3 linked regions of the Coturnix japonica genome follow. The protein of the gene in region 3 purifies or fractionates together with the protein of the main gene of each other region. This does not show direct contact. Links are inferred from orthologs where the notes say so. Each region holds a gene or a part of one and is shown on either strand. Other genes may lie near its edges.

The links.
Region 1: the proteins of ATAD5 (region 3) and RFC4 purify together in Homo sapiens (affinity purification with mass spectrometry; 5 studies listed by BioGRID and IntAct, counting the BioPlex papers as one, with this or other methods). This does not show direct contact. The link is inferred for Coturnix japonica from reciprocal best matches to the Homo sapiens genes ATAD5 and RFC4.
Region 2: the proteins of ATAD5 (region 3) and WDR48 purify together in Homo sapiens (affinity purification with western blotting; 3 studies listed by BioGRID). This does not show direct contact. The link is inferred for Coturnix japonica from reciprocal best matches to the Homo sapiens genes ATAD5 and WDR48.

Annotation. Positions count from the first base shown.
Region 1 is NC_029524.1:14,221,052-14,227,593, forward strand, and holds the start of RFC4 (replication factor C subunit 4), read right to left. Parts: upstream 4,243-6,542; 5' UTR 4,117-4,242; coding exon 3,992-4,116; intron 3,547-3,991; coding exon 3,468-3,546; intron 671-3,467; coding exon 591-670; intron 165-590; coding exon 45-164; intron 1-44. UniProt on the Homo sapiens protein: Subunit of the replication factor C (RFC) complex which acts during elongation of primed DNA templates by DNA polymerases delta and epsilon, and is necessary for ATP-dependent loading of proliferating cell nuclear antigen (PCNA) onto primed DNA.
Region 2 is NC_029517.1:4,673,507-4,680,340, forward strand, and holds the start of WDR48 (WD repeat-containing protein 48), read right to left. Parts: upstream 3,668-6,834; 5' UTR 3,602-3,667; coding exon 3,554-3,601; intron 1-3,553. UniProt on the Homo sapiens protein: Regulator of deubiquitinating complexes, which acts as a strong activator of USP1, USP12 and USP46. Enhances the USP1-mediated deubiquitination of FANCD2; USP1 being almost inactive by itself.
Region 3 is NC_029533.1:7,479,074-7,485,668, forward strand, and holds the start of ATAD5 (ATPase family AAA domain-containing protein 5), read right to left. Parts: upstream 3,929-6,595; 5' UTR 3,726-3,928; coding exon 3,660-3,725; intron 3,058-3,659; coding exon 1,283-3,057; intron 1,152-1,282; coding exon 1,064-1,151; intron 527-1,063; coding exon 362-526; intron 117-361; coding exon 1-116. Other genes in the region: CRLF3 (cytokine receptor-like factor 3), read left to right, coding at 4,100-4,225, 5,333-5,540. UniProt on the Homo sapiens protein: Has an important role in DNA replication and in maintaining genome integrity during replication stress.

The sequences.
Region 1 (6,542 bases), on a different chromosome or scaffold from region 3:
CAAGAAAATCCACCAAACAGAGCCAGCCCAGGTTCAGCACTTACTCTGCTCGGCTTCCAGATGCTGTGAGCTGAGCAAAAGCCTTCACCTTCTCACGGATCACTTGAATCCCGCGCTCATCAGAGGCATTTAACTCCAGGACTCTTTGTCGGAATAGTTCAGGCCTGCAAGGTTTTTATTGCAACATGTTAGCTGTTAATGCTTGCAACAGTACGTGACAAAGTATGCTAACAAACCTTCCACCCCTTTTGAACTCCAGATATTATTTCTGTTAGCATTAATGAATAACACACTTTGGTAAAACACAATTAATTTGAGATCATTAATGTTATGTATGAATGTCAATTAGGTATTTTTTAAAAGTTGATTCCCAGACTGCCAAAACAGCAAAGCATAAAATTACAGGAAAAAGCAATCAGAAGCTGCCTCAATAAACACAGAGCACTGTTATTATGTGTCCTTATATGCTGTGAGCAGCGTGGAAGAAACAGCTAAATCTCCAGATCTGGTCAGTGGGGGTGGTCAACCAGAGGCACACAATTAGAAGACACGATTGTTGCTTATACTGATGCAACACAGTTCCAGCTTACCCAAAGAGCTCTCTGGCAGCTGCTAAAATAGTGGAGGTCTTTCCAGTTCCAGGCGGGCCATAGAACAGCAGATTGGGAAGCTGCAACAGTAAGGCAGCGTTTAGAACAGCAATAATATAAACCTCTCTGTCTGACTTATTTTTGGCTCACGTTCTATTTCTAAAGATTCAACTGAAGTTAAAGAGCTTTATGCTGAATATAGCGAGCAACACAGACAGAATCAGAGCAGCAAAGCCAAAGGCATCTAAAGAGCAGAGTGAAATGCAGGGGTGTGTGATCCACAGTCAGAAAATGAAACGGGGGCAGATCTCTTCGGCAACAAATATTCCATCTTAAAAAGGTAAGACAGAACAAACACCACTGAGTATGTGCTGGAAAAGTACGGATGGCAGAACGTCATTATTTTATTATTAAAAACACATTTTGAGTTTCCCTGCTCTTTCTGCCAATCAGTTGTTGCCTGGTTCCCTGGTTAATGAAAAGTAAACAGTACTCAATACAAACACGAGGCTTTCCAAGTTTAATTAAACCCCACAGCGTTATTGTCTCCCTGTGCAGTTTTAGAAATCTCCGTGGAGAGGAAATGCTTCTGAAATGACAATAGAAAATTCACCACCAGCCATGTTAGTCAGCACGCTGCACCAGCAGACATTTTGTGGATTCAAGACTCATAATTTCATGGCTCTGTGCTGATTCACACTCTAACTCTCAAAAGAAACATTCACAGCTTAAAAGCTTTAACAGGAATCGGTGTTTCTGAATTCATTAAATCCATGCTTCAACTACTACTTTAGCTTCAACCCCTTTTATGCTCGTTTCTCGCTGAGGTTATCACAGTATTTACATTGCTTTGTCAACAAGCACAGCCTCATCCTTCATGTAACTCTGCAGCACTAATTTTAACAGACTGAAAGCTGAGCTGGTTAACCCTTGCTCCAACCTCGCAGGGGGAAGGCAGGATACCTGCAGGCACTGCCTGCTCATGGGAAACACCACAAGCAGGAGAAGCCCCAGGTGCCTCTCTACAAGTTTCACTGCAGGTAAGGATGTAAACCGGAATTATAGTCTTACTCTTAATTCTCTGGGTTCTCAGTCAGTAAAATGCTACCTAATAACTGGAACATTAAAGAATAGCATAACATAAGTCAGTTTCTCTAAAAAAAAGCAACAACAGCCCTGGCAGGCAGAAATCAATTTCTCCAGCTCAAAAACCACCCAGACTCTGATCTTTCCAATTTATAACAAGAGAAATGCTTGCTATTTTAGACTGAGATGTACTGTGGTTTTAGAAATCCTGCCCTATTTAGCAGCTTCAAAACCAAGGCCCACAAATACTTAAAAGCAATTCAACAGAGGACTAACTTTCCATTTGCAGCAGTAAGGTTTAAATACAGCACATGACACAAGCTTAGCACATTGTCACAGCTGTTTCTTTGATCCCATCAGATCACCAGACTCAATAAGAACTCCTGAAACAGAGTCAGCCACTCAGAGTTTAAATTACACTTTTGCCTTTTTGACAGAATGAGTCCTCCCAAAAAGTAACAAAAATCTTCCAATTTTGAAAGCATCAAATACTTGAACAACTCTCAGTTTTGTTCTCAAATGGTTTGCTGAGCTTTGGTACCTACAGTAACATACGAAGCCTGTAACCACCATACAGACGAGTTCTGATTTGCTTTTTTTCCAACTCAGGAGGCAAAAAGTCAGCACGAGGCTCATGATCTGACAGACGTGGCTGATCCAGAAGTGAAGGGTTTTAAATAGCTGATGCTCAAAATAGAACTTGACAACCCGTCACCTAAACAACACTGCAAGACTGACATGCCCAGATAGATGGCAGAACTCAGTTCTCTTCAGCCATGAACAGTTCCTCACTAATTTCTAGAACCAGACAAAATAGTAGAATACAACAGCATTGCTGTTAAGACCTGGATTTTTGAGGATACAGTAGTACACAGTAAGGTCATAACTGTGTTCTTAAAATAAACTGAATCTGAAGACACAAACTAAATAAATTACACGAGTCTTTCCCAGTTCTGTCATACTAGCTCTATTTTAACTCCCCATACTAAAATACAAAATACTTTAGCTTTTGCACGTTCCGATTAAATGAATATTTTCAGATCTATATAGCCTCAAACTAATCAAAACAAGAATAAATTGTTTCAGTGTAAAAGTTCCAAACAACGATGGACACACAATGCACATCAGAGTGCACAACAAGTGAAAGGCTTCCTCCGCAACTCTCTGTAAAGCCTGACCTGGTTTTTATAGCTCTCAGTGAACAGATACCCACATCACAACTGCTGCTCTTGGAACATCCGTACCAGCCAGCATTAGCCGTCCATAGAAACAGAACACCCCCTCTAGGTGAAATATGGAGCTAAAGGAGTGTCAGCATGAATGTAAGGAAGGGGTTTTTCACATTTGGAAAGGAAGAGGAATGAAGAAATAAAACAAGAAACATGTTTAGCAGTTTCTTAAAAGCACCAGTAAATCACTACAACTGATGAGCAACAATAACTGGCAATTTAGGTTTTTCTATGAAAAGTTTCCCCTCTACTCTTTGTCATAAGCACCAGAAGCATCAGCTGAACAGCAGCATCTCGAAAACAAAAGCTCCTCCAGCACTGAAATTATTAACAGCGAGTTCACCAGTTCAGATTTCCCAGAATAAATTCCAATGTGTCACAGAGCTGAGAGTTCACAGTGCTCAGAGAGCTGGACACATCAGGTACTGCAGGGCTTATCAGGTGCCATTGGAAATCACTTGGTTAGCCTGGAGAAACAGCCACAGCCAAGCCAGAAAGGGAAGCTCTCCCCACCGCTGCCTGCACGTTGCTGTGCTCAGGCAGCTGTTAGTGCAGCACTCACATCAGCACCTTCCAGGGACTTTTTCAACACAGCAACAACTTCATCCTGGAAGGCGACTTCATCCACGTTTTTGGGGCGACTAAAGAGAAAGACATCAAACGCAGTTTGATTACCAAACAGTTTCAGCAAGAATGTGAATTAAGACAGCATTTCCCTTCCCAAATACATCCATTCTATAGAGCTACACTAACTCCTGCAGCTGAGGCCACAATCCCAACAGGAACTGAGCCAGACGCCTCCCCGCGGTGACTGACAGCTCAGGAAGCCGTCAGTGCTAACCATTGCTGGCCATTGCTGGCCATAGCTGGCCATTGCTGGCCATAGCTGGCCATTGCTGGCCATAGCTGACCATTGCTGGCCATTGCTGGCCAGAGCTGACCAGAGCTGACCATTACTAACCAGAACTGACCAGAACTACCCATAACCAACCATTACTAACCATAACCACGGCCCTGCGCTCATTCCTGGAGCACATCTGCCAACACCCCCAGCTGTGACCCCCCCCCAGTCCAACAGGCCCTTACTATTTCTCCACCCAGGGGACGGGTTTGAGCTTCTTGCCTTCCCCGCTGCTCCCCGCCGCGCTCCTCTCCTTGTTGGCAGTAGGTTTGTTGCTGATGGAGGCCGGGCCTTTCAGGAAGGCCTGCATGGCTGTGACTGTGGCTGTGGCTCCGTCCTTCCCCTCAGCTCGGCCGTTAATCCCGGCTCACCACACAGCGCACAACAACCCCTCACCAACTTCCCGCCAAGCCGCCCGTCACTCAAGGCGACGCAAGCCACTTCCGCCTGCTGAGAGCCAATCACAGCGCTCCCCCCGGCGGAGTGGGCGGGCCCTTCGGCAGTGCTGAGCATGCGTGAGGATCGTGAGGTGATGGGGAGGGGCGCCATGTTGGCACCTCCCCTCGGGGTCGGATGGGCGGCTGCTGGTTGTTGTAGCCCGTAGCAATGCAGCCTCTCCTGCAAAAAAAAGATTGAAAAAAAGAGGAACCACGAAGCCGGAGTCTGCCCCAGTGCCCTCCCTGTGCCGTGCCTCGCTGCCCCCAGGTGAACGAAGCAGGGCTTATATGTGCCAAAGTTACCTGTTACAAGGGAACCTTTCCTTCATATTCAATTCCCATTAAAGCAAAAGAAGAAGAAAAGGATTTGAAATGAGGGGTGTGACTGATGGAACAGGCCCCATTACAGGACTACAAAGCATCCCAGCAGATCCAGCAGTCACGATGCCCATGTTATCATGCACCAGGTATCTACGTCATATCCTCACACTTTGTGGCAATTTCTTGCATAAAAAGTAAAGCAGATCTGCTGCCTGCAGCAGCACGTTGTGTACTTGTAGCTGTTCTGCTCTATTCTTTCCCTTTGGCTGCCCCCAAGCAAACGCATGGCCATAGTGACCTGGGCAGCTGCGGAGGGGATCATCCTGAACAGAACCTGTGCAAAGGGGAAGAATGAATTGGAAAGGGTCTCTATGGCAACAGACATTGGGAAAGGAGGAACAGGAAAGAATTGAGGCTGGAAATACATCATTCTATTGGCAAGACGAGCCTGTAATCTGTGCTCAGGCAATTTTAAATAAGCTTTCCATTCATCTAGCGTTCTATTATTGAAACATGAAAATGCCTTGGCAGCAAGAGATGCCCATATGCATCATTTCTGAAGTTGCCCTGTTCCTGATGAAAATGCAGTGCTGCTTTTTTTCTCACTATGATTATATTTGATACTTCCGAGTAGTGATGACTTGGAAATGGTAAGGATGCATAAGCAGATGGAATGGATTAGTATTCATCCTGAAGCTGTAAAAGGCTTTGTTATATTTCAGAGCTTCCTTCTATTTTGTGGTCTCACTTCTGTCCTCTCCTTAAAGGGCCACTTCAACTATTCTTAGTGTTTGAACTTCTCATCACCTCTGTCTGAGCCTCACATTCAGCTCATCGAAGGAACCTCCTGGCTGCTAGATGAAATACATTAACATGAAGAACATGGATGTTCTTCATAACAGAACATTTCAAACATGGATGTTCTTCATAACAGAACATTTCATTTCATTACCTTAGCAAATACAGCATATTCCAGAAAGAAAGAAGTGAACTCAAGCTGCAGGTTCTTTTTCTCTCTCATGGTTTTTCTCTCCCTCCAGTGAATAAACACAAAGACTGAATACTACGCTTGCTCAGTTCCACATTCATTTACCATCTTAAGGTCCAATAGGCCAAACTGATGTTTACAGTGTTCCCCCATATGCTTTTTTCCAAGGCAGACAGTTCTTCTATTAGTGTCCCTCAACTGTGTTCCATGGTAACTTTCTACAGCCTAATGCACAGCAGAATTAGTTTATCTTTAAATCCTGATCATGAATTTGTTTTCTAAAGCACGTTAACATAATTGGTTTTGTATCCATAATAATACCAGTTATTAAAAAGCATTACAAATATTTGTGGTTTTTTTCCCTCTTGGGCTGTGACAGAAACATATTTAAGAATCTGACTTTTTTTTATCAGTCTTGCAGAGAGAGAACTGATCAGCAATGAGGTATGGGGAGGAGGTTGATTTGAGGTGGCCTTGACATTTTTCCTTTTTTAAGAATATTTATAACACATTTAGTTAATAAATAAAACTCCTTAAGACTATTTTGATTTATAAAGGCATAAAACACCCAGTGTGTTTGCAGCGCATTAGTATTTAAAACCTGTAATGCCCCAGTAGCAGATGTCTCATTACTAATAATGTTCACAAACAACCTTCTCTGTTCTCATCCTAACCAGATCCACCTCTGCACTGCTGTCTTCCAAATCCTTTGTCTCATTTCACCTCCAGTTGAAGCAGATCCATCAGCTCAGTGAGATGATCCAATACACTGCACTACTACGTCAGCAAACAGGAGGTAGGAGTAGGAACTCGTGGTGGGGTGAGTGGGGAGGTAAAGAATGAGCATTTGGGTTGCAGGGCATGTTTTTGGCACCTTGGACTCCTCTAAATGGGAAGCCTGTTCCCTTTCCTTCTTAGTCTTCTTTTGCTGGCATTTGCAGGTGTACACTCACCCAGTGTTGGGTTTTTTTTTTACACTGAATGTAGAGA
Region 2 (6,834 bases), on a different chromosome or scaffold from region 3:
TTTGAAAGTTACCATCACTGCCCTCAGTCATTTACCTCCCCCTGAAAATTGGGAAGAGTCACAAAGATGTTAGCAGTGCTACATATGGAGCCCCAGGGATTATTTAATCCTTACAAATCAGGCTTAGACTGGGACAATCCTTAGTTCAATTCCCTGCTCTGCACAGAGATTCTGGATGATCCCAGACAACACAATGCATTCGTGTCTCATTTTTTTAAGCAGGTTTCATGGTTTCTAAAGCTGTGTGACAGTGTTTCCCAGCCTTATAGGGAGAAAACACCACCAGTAAGGATTACAAAGCACTGAAAGACAGCAGGTCCAAATTCTATCCCAGCAATAATACTATTACGACACTTGGAGAAAGGCAGAATTCTGTTGTAGTTTTTTCTTCTTTAAAGAACAACAAACTCCTTTCTAACATAATAAGCAGAAATATTCAGCCTTCCTCCAATTAGAGATTTCTTTCTTTCACTTTCAGTCCTTCTGCATCTGACAGTACAGTGTGTATTGCATACTTCATTGCTCTATTCAGAAACATCAAATGGAGATTTAAGGGGTCAAAATGCAAGGCTTACAACACTCTCTGCTATTACTTGTGCAGTAAGTGCAGCTATAAAGCACTACAGATGCTTCCAAGCCAACCCATTCACACCTTCTTTTTGTTGATGCACAGAGGAAGATGTCCCTGCAGCACTTCATCTGGCCTTGACCATTCCATGTCTATGCTGTTAATATGCCCATGCAGCCTGCCTAACTCAAAGAATGTTATGAACAAAGTCAAGGTCTAGCACATAAAGCAAAAGAGATGCCCAATGTCACACTGCTTTCCAATTTTCTGAATAAAAGCAATGGAAATATTCAGTTAAAATACTAAATGCAAGCTGTTCACCTCTTTACAAGCATTGTTTATATGTTGAGAGAACTGAGAAAATGAGAGTAAGTGTCTTGTTTCAGGGTTAATAAGTCTCTGATAGACTGAAGAGCAAATGGTAAATGCTGCTATCAGTTCATTCTTGATGGACTCTCTAAATCCCACTCCCAAACCTAATGACATCCTGAAGTCAGAGAGGACTCCATAGTATTATTGTTATTTGGTTTTAGATTGGAGCAATACTCAGTACAGAAATACAGTAACTATTAGGAAATATAGTATCAATACAATGAATACAGAGTATATATTCAAGTATGTGTACACAAACACATTGAATAATAGATACAACAGGTTACATTTCATCACATTTCAAACAAGGCAACCAAGAGCACATTGCACCTTGGCTCACTGCATCTATTCACAAAGCCAGCATCAAACACAAAGATGATGACAGACCCCACGTTGTGATATTGCCATTTGATGGTCCAGAAAGGGCAAGATGGGCTATAAGATACTTTAATAATGACCAATGCTTTTTACATTAATGTTGTTGTAGCATTTATAAACTCCTGTAACAAATAGCAACGCTTCACTGCAGTAAACACTGTCTAAATATTACAGAATCACAGAATGACCCAGGTAGGAAGGGACCTCAAGTATCATGTAGTTCCAACCCCCCTGCCTGGCAGGGCCACCAAACATACACACTTACTAGATCAGGTTGCCCAGGGCCCCGTCCAACCTGGCCTTGAACACCTCCAAGGACGGGGCATCCACAACCTCCCTGGGCAGCCTGTTCCAGGGCCTAACCACTCTCCCAGTGAAGAACTTCCCCCTAACATCCAACCTAAATCTTCCCTCTTTTAACTTAAAACCATTTCCCCTAGTCCTGCTATTATCAGCCCTTTCGAAGAGTTTACTCCCCTCCTGGGTGTAAGTTCCCTTCAGGTATTGAAAGGCTGCAATGAGGTCACCCCGCAACCTTCTCTTCTCTAGGCTGAACAAACCCAACTCCCTCAGCCTGTCCTCATAGGGAATATTACAGAGATAAACCCTCATTATAAAGAATTTATGAGACTTAGTATCTTAAACGGATCAGGACTAGCCATTTCAGTGACTAAGAGCACCAGAGATATAGGTAATACCAACAAAAACATGTTGAAGAATGCACACCAGCTGAAAAATGGCCTCATCTTGAATTAATTCACAGTACCACATCTGAAAGCCGTAGCACAAAGCCAACTGATTCCCATCACACAGTGATGTTTACTACTCCCAAACCCACACATCTCCATTCCACCCCTAGTGAAGGGGACCTTACTATTGGAACACTGACACAATTCACATGAGTGCCTCACGTTTAATTATACTTCTTACCTTTATGCTCAGAATTCACTTTAAGGTCTGAAACTCCTATCCTGATTAAACCCTTATGCAATATACAATTATATGCAGAAGCATCCTACACAGTTTTGAATGGTTCTACTGACCAGTAAAACAGGTGCAACAGAGACAACAACAGCTCAAACTTGCATAAATATTAACCAGCTCCCATGTCTTGTAAAGAATCAGGATCCTCCACAACTGATGGGCATTCTTCTACAGAGTCTTCCCCTTGCACTATAGATTTTGGAGAAATCTCTATTAATTGATGCAGAAACATATTAAATGCTCAGCCATCAGGAAGCAAAATAAACTGTTAATGGTTTTTACTTTCTACCAACAGCTGATGGATGCAAGAGCCACTGAGAAGTCCATTATTTGGCCAAAACCCTGAATTTAACCAAGTAAGTGAAGTAATAGGACTACAATAAAATACCTACTTTGTACTTAATACTTTGTATGTGCTTATAATATAATCAAAGTTATTCTCTGTTGATCACTTAGTGTACACTGGCTGAAGCCTGGATCATCACAGCAGGATAAGGAGAAGCAAAAAGCATCAAGTAACACAGTGACAACAGATCACCAAATAAATAAATACAAAATCTCCTTCCTTGGGAGGCCAATCTTCAAGAACTTGCATACGGTGCAGACGATGCAAAAGGGCACAGGAATTCTTTATGCAGCACTGACCAAGTGCTTCTTTGACTATAAGAACTGCTATAAGCTATAAACATTTCCTCTATGGGACAGAATAGAAAAGGTGCCTTAAGACACAGCACCCATCTCTGTTTGGAAGGATGCTGAGACTATTGCAAGCTAAATCGGTATATATATAAATATAATGGTTAAAAACAGCTGAAACTTGCACTTACCACCAGAGGTACACATAAAACATACATTTTGCTATGGGAAAGGAGTAAAGCTATTAAAGGTGCTGATACTATCCCAAAACATCACAATACATCTATTTTCCTGACTTTTACCATTCACTATCACAGCCTGACTGTTCTGCGGCCTTGCATTCAGAACAGCAGCCCGGAGCCGGGCGGGTGGCTCAATGTAGCTCAGTATCGTTTCCCTTAAGCCGATGAAGCCGTTTCCCTTCTCTCCTTTAGCCAGTCCTCGTAGTTTCCAGAGCCTCCCACACGGAGCAACGCAGAGACCCCTCCCCAGCAACCACCGCCCCCCTCCCATAGCCCAGCCATCCCCGACCGTCCTCCTGAGGGCGGCCTACACGTATGTAGCCCACCCCAAAGCCCTGCTGCTCCTCACAGCCGAACCCCGCCGTGCACCCACCTGCACTTTCCGCCGCCCCGCCGTGTTCTGCCGGTGATGCGCCGCCATCTTGCATGTTGACACTGTGATGTCACTTCCGAGGAGTGACGTTCCGGAAGTCCCACCCCCACTCTCAGCCCCCAAAGCCCTTATAAAGCAGAAACAAGATGGCTGACGTTCATTGAGGCGTTGCTAGGCAACTGACAAGGGGGCTGGGCCAGAGCTCCCTCTCAGTAATAGCCCCAGTAATGGCGGCTCGCCATTTTATGTATTGGAGTTGCCACGATTCAAGTACAGTACCTTGCACTTGGCCACGTTGAACCTCATTAGGTTTACATGGGCCCATTTTTCAAGCCTGTCCAGGTTTCCTCTGGATGAAAGCCATTTTATATGAGTGTACTGGTGAGGCTTCATCTGGAATATTGTGTCCAGTTCTGGGCTCCCCAGTACAAAAAAAGACAGGGATCTCTTGGAAAGAGTCCAGCGGAGGGCTACTAAGATTGTGAAGGGCCTGGAGCATCTCCCCTATGAGGAGAGACTTAGGGAACTGGGTCTGTTTAGCCTTGAGAAAAGAAGGCTGTGCATAGGGATATTACCTTGGGGGGTTTGCTTTGGTATTGATTATTTCATTTACTTCAAAACAGTAATGGTGACTGGACGAGGTGATTGGTGAAATGCACAGTAGATCAATAATCCTAGCGAGAAACATTTTTACAGTGACAAAAAATGGGTAAAGAAATAAGTAAAAAATATATAGTCACATATTCACATTCCTGCTGATTGCAGCCATGCTCACTGGCTACTCATTAATGCTAATATAAGCTTATTTTGATAAGAATTGCGTTTTCCAGCATTGCTGACTGCAGTGTCTTCCCTGCAATTGCAAGCAGATGGTATTGTTCTTAAAAGACATCTGCCTTGGCCAAAACTCTTCCTTAGCAGCCATATTTTCACTATTTTCTGTTATTACAACAGTGCAGAGCATATGATTTAAAGCATCTAGGACAGGTATCACAAAGTTGCATTGCTTAACTCATTACATTTTTTTTTTAAGATAAAATTAAAGCTTTTTTTTTCACCACTCCCCCCTCCACACCTCAGATATTTATAGACCTGAATCTGGTCCCCTCTCAGTCTTCTTTTCTCAGGGCTAAACAGACCAAGTTCACTCAGCCTTTCTTCATAGGGGAGATGCTCCAGGCCCTTCACCATCTATGTGGTCCTCCGCTGTTTCTTCCTCTCTGCATGTCAACTGATTATATGTGGATAGTCCCTGCTATGCAGTGTTTCTTAAATCCTCTGACCAACAGCTCATTACTGAAAGGAGAACAAAAACATGCACGGTGCTCGTAGAACCTTTGAAGTTGGGAGAGACCTCTAGAGATTGTGTAGTCCATCAGAGGTTGTCTTTGCTGGAACACAAGAAGCATCATGTTGGCACAGGCTATAAGTTGCTGGTTTCTATGTGTCTGAGCTGCACTTTCAGCTTGTCATTCATTCTCATTCATCACAGACATGAAGCAAGGCTGGGCTGATACGGAGTCATGTGGACAAACTGCACACACACACACAGAAATATGGTAGATAAGGTTTTCTATGTGATGCACTGAATCTTTTAGCTTTTCACAATGACATTTTGAGAAAGTGATAAGATCATCAAATTTATAATGTTAACTGTTTGCTTGTGGCTTTGGAAGAGAAGGAACAATATTTGTAGATAAATCTAGGGATTATTTTTCAATTTCCCTAAAACTCTGATAATCTTGGCTGAATTGTGACCTTCTGAAAACACTGGTATGAGCAAATAGATGTTGAGCCAAAAAGGAGATGGGAGAGAACTGAGCAGGATTCAGGAGATAGGCCAGGGCATCGAGATAAGGAGAAAAGCAAATGGGTGCTTATTGGATAAGTAACGACTGCAATAAATAAAAAGATGAAGATGAAATTTCCTCAGTAATATTAGGGTCAAAAATACTATTACGTTTTCCAGCTTCTTCCCTCTGCTGTTCAAATCCCTCTTTGTGAGGTTTGGCTGCCACAGCATTTACAATAAAGGCCTTAAAAGAATTTAGATGGAAGATACAACTATGATTCGGAGCCTGTAGGAATTACAGGGAAAGGTTCAAATGTTTATTGGCTACAGCAGAGAATACGAAAGGAAACATTATAGCGGTTTTCAAATAATTGAGAAGAATATGGAATAAACTCATCTTCATGTCCGTGGTGAATGAGAAGTAATGGGCTGTAATTGCAGTTCAGGAGATTCATATGAGGCACAAGAAAAAACATTTCTTGGCAGTTGGAGTAGTGAAGCACTAGAATATGTGGTATATGGAGGGGCTGGAATCACCATCTATTGTAAGAAGAGACGAGGCAAATATCTCCAGGAATTACATCAATATCGCTGATGCTGTTTGAGGCTGAATCACGAACAAGGTGGCTTTAGGATATCACTTCCAGCCCCATTTTTTATTGTAATTATAGAAGTAGAGAATGTTTTTTATAAGCAAAAGGCTCTTTAATCCTGCAGGAAGTGCAGCAATAGATGATACAGTTGGGAGAAGAGCTACATAAAATCAAGCTGTGAAGAAAATATCGTTTTAAGACCAGCTAATCACTGAACAAATCCCCAGGGGACATGATAGATCTTATGTAGCTTGAAGCTTATTTAGAATTTATGGACATGATTCAGAGGAAACTGTTTGAAATTACTGTATTCAGTCTGTATTTGATGGGACGTGAAATTTGGTGATCTTAGGGCCTATTTTATTGTGGGGCTGCATCAACAAGACATTTGTTCAACCCATTTTAGTCTCCTTCATGTTCCAAACCTGCTGTAAAGTCACTTATATATTCACACATGCAATGGTCTCAGTCTTGGTGCTGTCTTTCTTTGGCACTGCTGTGTCTGTAACTGCCCCTCTAGCTTCTGGATTAAGATCCAAGAAGTTGCAGAATTCATCTGGAATAAAGTTTAAAGTGTAAAAATGCAAATAAAGAACTGAAGGTCTGGAGGCTTTGGAGGAAGGAAATGTATCATTATTTCCAGTTTAAACATTGCTTTAAATCTGCTTTCTAGCATTAGTCTAAGAAATACTAAATATTGTATTCTGCTTCTCCAGCATATATAGCTTGTTTGTTTTTAAGTTGTAAAGCTGTTTGCTATTACATAATTTACTGCATTCTTGACAAAGAGTTGAAGTTCGGACTTCAGTCTTCCAGGGAATTATGATAAGAAGTATTTCTGAAACCCAATGCTCAGAATGGACTCTGTAAGCAAGAGCGCATGAGAAATACTGGAA
Region 3 (6,595 bases):
TTCAGATTTTTAGACTTCCCCAAAACATCATTTAAGCTTCGAAGATTCTTTTGCTTCACACCCTGCACTGTAGTGCTGTCATTGCTCTGGCTTGAATGTAGAATTATTACTGAATCCTGGTAGAAAAGGAAACAAACTTAGAAAGGAAATGATTTTCCTCCTTCATTAGCAACACAATTTAGTGACAGGTATTGGGGAAACTTCTGCAAAGCCCAGAAGTTACCAAATACCATTTGAAGATTACTCTGTAATCGCTATCTACCTTATTTCATACTTAAAAGTGTTTCTACAAAACATTTTTAATGCTTAACAAAGTCACGAGAACTAGAGAATGATTTCCCCATAGAATACACAGGCTTACTTCATTTTCTTGTAACGTTTTCTTTTCAGCAAGAGCTTGCTGTCGAGATGAGCGCCTCACAGGAGCTGCTGAGTCCTCATTAACCTTTGATCTGTTGTGCTTTATAGCTTTTGCTTTTTCAACCAGCTGTTTTGCTTTGGACACGTTTTTAGAAGCAGAGCTTATCTATTGACAAAGTACAAAATAACCAAGATATCTAGCAATTAATAGCAATATCTTCACTAAGTGTTCCACATTATATTATCTCTAGTGTATGATTTCTAATTAACATTTGCTTGCATTGGGAAGAAAGTGAAACAATCAGAAGGAGAACACTAGGGGTAGTGGGAGCCCTACAGGGGACTGTCCTGGTCACCCACAGGACAAATGAGATCTGAGCAGTGATGTTGTTAAGCATCAGCTGTTCTGCTATGCCCAAATGCTACATCCCACCTCGAGAACTTGCCAAAGATGAGCATGCTATCCTATCTGATTTCTGTTGTTATATTCACACAAGCTGCTATTTGTAACAGTTTAAAGTCAACGGTACAGTAACTGTACAAGAAACTAGCTCAAATGCTATAGTAAATTCCAGTAATACTCTCTTTCAAGTGGACATTTGTGTACTACCATGCTTTACTGTATTAAACAATTTGAATGTTAACAATTATATGCATTTAGTAAATGACAACATACTGAAACACAAGCTGTTACATGAATTACCTTTTTATTTTTGGAGTTAAGCTCTTCATTATTCTTTGCTTCACTTTTATTTGATTTTATAGTTGCATTGATCCGTGTAAACCTCATTCTAATTAGGGAAAAGTGTTATAAAATCATTACTGTTTAATGAAAGGAATCGTAACTACAACTTACTCTTAAAATACTTGCAGGAAAACAAAACAAAATGCATAAAGCCAGAATATATTCCAACATGTTTACCTTATTGGGCTGTTCTCATCGGAGGGCACTGTAATCACCTCAGCCTTATACACGTTACTTTTCTTTAAGGACTGCCTGCTTGTTTTTGGTGTGGAAGTCTGTACAGGCCACACACTTTCATCTCCAGAAAAGTTCCTTCTAATTTTGTTCTTTTTGGGTGTAATAGTTTTGGATGTGTTGGTTTTCTTTTGCCTCAGACTCCTCCTCAACTCTTTCACTTTTGGACTAGATGAAATTATTACATCCAATTTACTTTCCTTCACCTGATCACAATCTACTGATTCTTTATCTTCGTTATAGTTGCTTGTACTTGAGATACATTTTTCCTTTGCTCCCAAAGCCTTGTTTCTTTTGCTTCCCTTCTTCTGAAACTTCCGCGGCCTCTTGTTTTTCGTTCTGGTGTTTCCAGGACTAGAACTCATGCATTTGTCTGCACCATCTTCTGGTAGCCCACCTTCTAATTCCGTATTTAAAACACTGTCACCCTCGGGTCCTTTCTTGTCTTTTGAAGTCCTCCCAATGACTTGCTTTGCTTTCCCAGGTGCCTTTTTAACTCCACTTTTTCTTACATCTGATGTTGGTTGCCTGAACGCTTTCATGAACTGATGCCTTTCTTCCAGAGTAGATTTCATCTTCAAAGAATCCGATCCTGCAGTCTCTAGTATCGCTAACTCCAGCTCCTCTTCCTCAATGACTACGTTAGATTTTCTTTTCAGGGTGAGCTGCTCAGTCTGCTCACTCTCCACAAGAGACGGGCTGCTTTCTTCTTCTACATATACTTTCTGCTTCAGAAAAATGGAAGCTATTTTCTTAGAACCTTTTTGCTCATTATGTAAAGAACCTGATTTGGGGGGAACGGAATGAACTTGTGCAAGAACAGTTACTGTTCTAAGCGGTAGCTGCTGAAATTCCTCACACTTTTCAGGGTCACTATTACTTCCACTTTTGTCCGTTTCATTGACAGTAACAGAACTGTCCAGCATTGGCTTTGTACCTTCAACATCCTCTACGTGATTTTCTCCTTGGCTTTTCAAGAAGTCCTCAAAGGACACTGTTATGATACTGTCATTTGCCTGAGATGTTTTATCATCTGTGAGTACTTCACAACTTGTGTCACTAATAACATCATCACATTCTGCTGCTTTAGGAGATTCCTTCTTTTTCTTACCTTTAGTTTCTTTCCTACACTTTTCATTCAGCTGGTTCTCAAATGAAAAACTCCCAGACGAATCCACATTTACTTTGTGCTTCCTTTTCCTTGTTTTTCTTATCCTATTTTTTGTTGCATTTATTTCAGAACCAACTTTCTCATCACTTTTAACACAGATGTCTGTATGTGAGAAATCCTCACCTTGCTTATGACCTTCAGCTAATTCCCCTCCACCTTTCCAGTCACCTAAAGCACACGTAGCTATGAAATCATCACTGTCTTCTTTTAGCCTTGTTGCTTCTATGCTGTCATCACAATCAATTTCTATTGTGCGTTCACTCTCCAACTCTTTCATTTCTCTTTGCTTATTATTTACACGAGTTCTCTTCCTTTTCCTCTTTGGCTTTGGAGATGCTATATAACAATCCAGGTCGTCACTGAATTCTGCTGTAATCTCCCCAGCTGCTGTTGCATGTTTCTCAGCTGCAGGCGTCTTCTTAAAGTAATCCAAGATGTTGTTGGCTTTTGGAGGCGATGACACTTTACCTCCTGCTTTCGCTAATGGTGAGAAATACCTCGTGATGGTTTTCACAGAGCCATCTTCCTCTCGCCGTTTCTTGCACGGCTACAATAAAAAGAGAGCTCTGTGTCAGCCTTGGCCATTAAAACCTTGAGCTGCGGTGTGCTGATATCAGGCACTTTGCGATACAAGTTTACACAGTGACATTTGTGCTCTTGTAAAAGACAATGAACTTATTGACGTGAGTCCCTGCTCACATCGCTCAGCGCCATCCTGCAGGAGCCGCCCCAGCTGGATTGGACAGGGGTGACGGTTCAGAACAGCGGGACATCGACATTCAAACCACCACCCAACGCCCGGGACCTCCAGCACCGAGCGGACCGTCAGCGCAGCCCATGGCCGGGAGCAGCGCGGCTGTTTCACCGCACACCGGGGGATCCTGGCGGTGCACCCGGCAACACCGGAGGGAAACGGCCCCGCCGGGCAGGGCGCGCAAAGAGCAACGAGAGCAACGAGCGCGACGCATCACGGAGCCGCAGCGCCGCCCGCTCCCGGGAACGCGGCTCATCCCGTTCGGCCACCGCCCCCACGATCGCACCGAGCCCCGCGGAGCCGCCCGTCCCGGCACATCCCGTCCCGGCACATCCCGTCCCGGCACACCCCGTCCCGGCACACCCCGTCCCGGCACACCCCGTCCCGCCGCACACCTGCAGGTCGCCGTCCCTCCCGGACTCAGCCGAGGCGCTGCCCGCCGCACGCCCCGCACGCACCATGCCCAGCCCAGCCCGGCCCGTCCCGGCAGCGCGGGTCGCTCAGACGCGCCGTGAGTCGCGCGGTGGCGCCATGTCCGGTCCCGCCGCACGGAGCGAGTGACTGACAGGGGAAAAGCGCGCGGAACGATTCGGAGCTGCGCGCGGAACGGGGCGGCGCTACAACACCCACGTGACCCGCTCGCTCCGCCAACCGCCACGCGCGTTTTGCCATCACGTGATCCCGGCGGTTGGCGCCCCGCCCTCGAATCTCCGGTCACGTGACGGGTTGACGCTCCTCCCGCCGCCGCCGTCGGGCGGGTTTTGGCGCCGCGGGGTGTGACGTCACGTGCCGCCCCGCGCAGTGCGGCCTGTCCGGGCCCCGCCCGCGGCTGCACATGGCGGAACAGGCCGAGCTGCGGCTGCTGCTGCTGCAGGACGCTCGGGAGAGCATCGAGGCGGCGCGCAGCTACCGGCGGGAACTGCAGCAACGGCTGCGGGGGCTGCAACAGGCCAGGACACAGGTGGGGGAACGGAGCGGAGCGACGGGACGGGACGGGATGAGCGGGCGGGGGCGCGGCCACAGGGTGGGACGTTATTGGGCTGCGGGGCGGGGGGAGACGGGACGACACGGGATGTGTGCGGGGATACCGGACCTGTGCGGCTCTGAGCAGCTCCGTGTAGTTGTGTGCAGCTCCGTGTAGCTCTATGCAGCTCTGTGTACCCCGTGCTGGTTCCCCTATAGGCGCTGGGTGCTCTGCGCTGAGCAGCAGTTCTGTCAGCACGGACCGCTTTCCCCTCGCTTCCTTTTTCTCTGGGGCTGACAGTCGGGCAGCCGAGCTGTGCGGTGTTACGGCTTGAACAGGAAATGCGCCTCGCAGAACCAGAGCTTCCTGCGCCGGCTGCAGGGCTGCGGTTGTTGTGCCGTGCAGTTGTTGTTGTGCCGTGCAGTTGTTGTGCAGTTGTTGTGCCGTGCGGTTGTTGTGCGGTTGTTGTGCCGTGCAGTGCACAGTGCAGCGTTTCCTCATCTGCACGGGGTAGAAGCGCTCAGAGGAAGATGTTCTGTTGTGGTTTTGTACCCTTAGTTCAGGGCTGCACAAATGCGTTTGTCTCCCTAAAATCCCGTTTGCCAGCACAGCGATGAATGTGCGTAGGAACTTCAGCTCTGCTTCTTCCCAAACCCAGCCCGACCTGCTGCACCCACCATCACCCCGCAGCACCCACACGGTTCTGTTTGAAAAGAGCTTTGGTGGGACTTCAAACACCCAGTGAAGGGCCGGGCTCCATGGAGAGCTGTGTGTTCCTTCATGCAGTTACCAGGAGGGACTTTCAGACTTTTCTGACCAGATTCTTTGGCTGCAGTAGCATTAACCCGATCTGCACGTAGCTCAAACCTCAGCAGTTGATCTTGATGTGCTCAGCTCGTTGCCCTTCCCTTGTCCAGACTCGTTTCCCAGCCTCCTCCCCTCTGTGCCTGCACTGTTCATAACACACCCTGTTACTCGCTGCTTGTGGCCCCTTTTTAAAGCTGACTTCACAGACATTTTCCTTTGCAGACACAGTAGCTCAGACATACGAGATGTGAGCGGTCTTTGCCCTTGTCCTGAATCCTTCTTTTTACCTGAATTTAGATCAGAGAAAGTGCAACCTTGACCAGAGATGTACTCGAGCAACATTTTAATGATTTAAAAGGGACCCTAAAGAAGCTGTTGGATGAGCGACTGTTGTCACTGCTGCAGGAAGTGGATGCTATAGAACAAGAGAGCATCAAACCACTGGACGAATGCCAGAAGCTGATAGAGCACGGAGTCAGCACGGCTGATGATCTGCTCCGGGAAGGTAAGGCAGGACCCGGGCTAAGTCTTAGTGCTGCCTCCCAGCGTGTCTTCTCTCAAAGTCAGGAGTGTTCCTGTCACAGTGTGTTTGGCTTGTCCTGCATTCCTGTCAAATGAAATGTTAGAAAGAGATTAAACTTGGGTAGGCTCATGAGATGTCACCTTCTGTTTTAATTTCACTCCGTTCCTGGGCTGTTGCCCCCTCTTAAGGACTGAGAATATCTGCTTTTGGGCACAGACCTTGTTTGCAGGAGCATCCTGCAGCCTGCCGCTCTGGAATGAACGCATCACACTGCTTTGAAACAAAATACATCTTGGGAACCAAAATGACAAGTTGTCTCTGGTCTCATTCAATTAACAACTGGCTCCAGTAGAATTTCCACTGAGAAAAAATGTCAGTCCTCTGTGAGGATAAACTTTGTCTGTTGTGGACCAATAGTTCTTAATAGTTCTGTTCCAAGTTTGCACCGTGCTGATGCTGATCACCTGGCCAGAAAGGAATAACACTGCTGACTGCTCTGCCTGCATTGCAGAACCTACTGGGAGCATGACGGTGTTGGCAGTTTCCTTGCATTGTTCTCATGTCTCAGCTTAAATTTTCTTTAAAAAATGAGCAGAGATGTGAATCAGAAAGGAGTTAATCCTGCACGTTTATTAAATCTCTTGCTGCCAATTATGACCTTTGTGTTTCGTTAGAGATTTGCAATGTTTGTAATCCTCCATTTGGAATCCAAGCGAGCTTGCTCGCGTTGTAAATTACCATACAGTCAGCACATGGATCTTACATCCCTGCAAGCTGAAGTGTGGGACACTACTTTATATGGAAAGCCCATGGTGAGGTTTCTGTTCATCTCCACACTTCAATCCATGGATTACTTCATGCGTTATGACAATACTGACCTTATTTTGTAGCAAAGAGAACAATGGTAGAAATTATTTTGTGCTTTTAAGCTCCTGTTTAAGGTTTTCTGCCTCTTGTTTTAAAGGAGATGGAGAATTCCTGGTTTCTGGCATCTGACTCCAGTTCTGCTTCTGTCTGAGACCCGAGGCAAATTATTA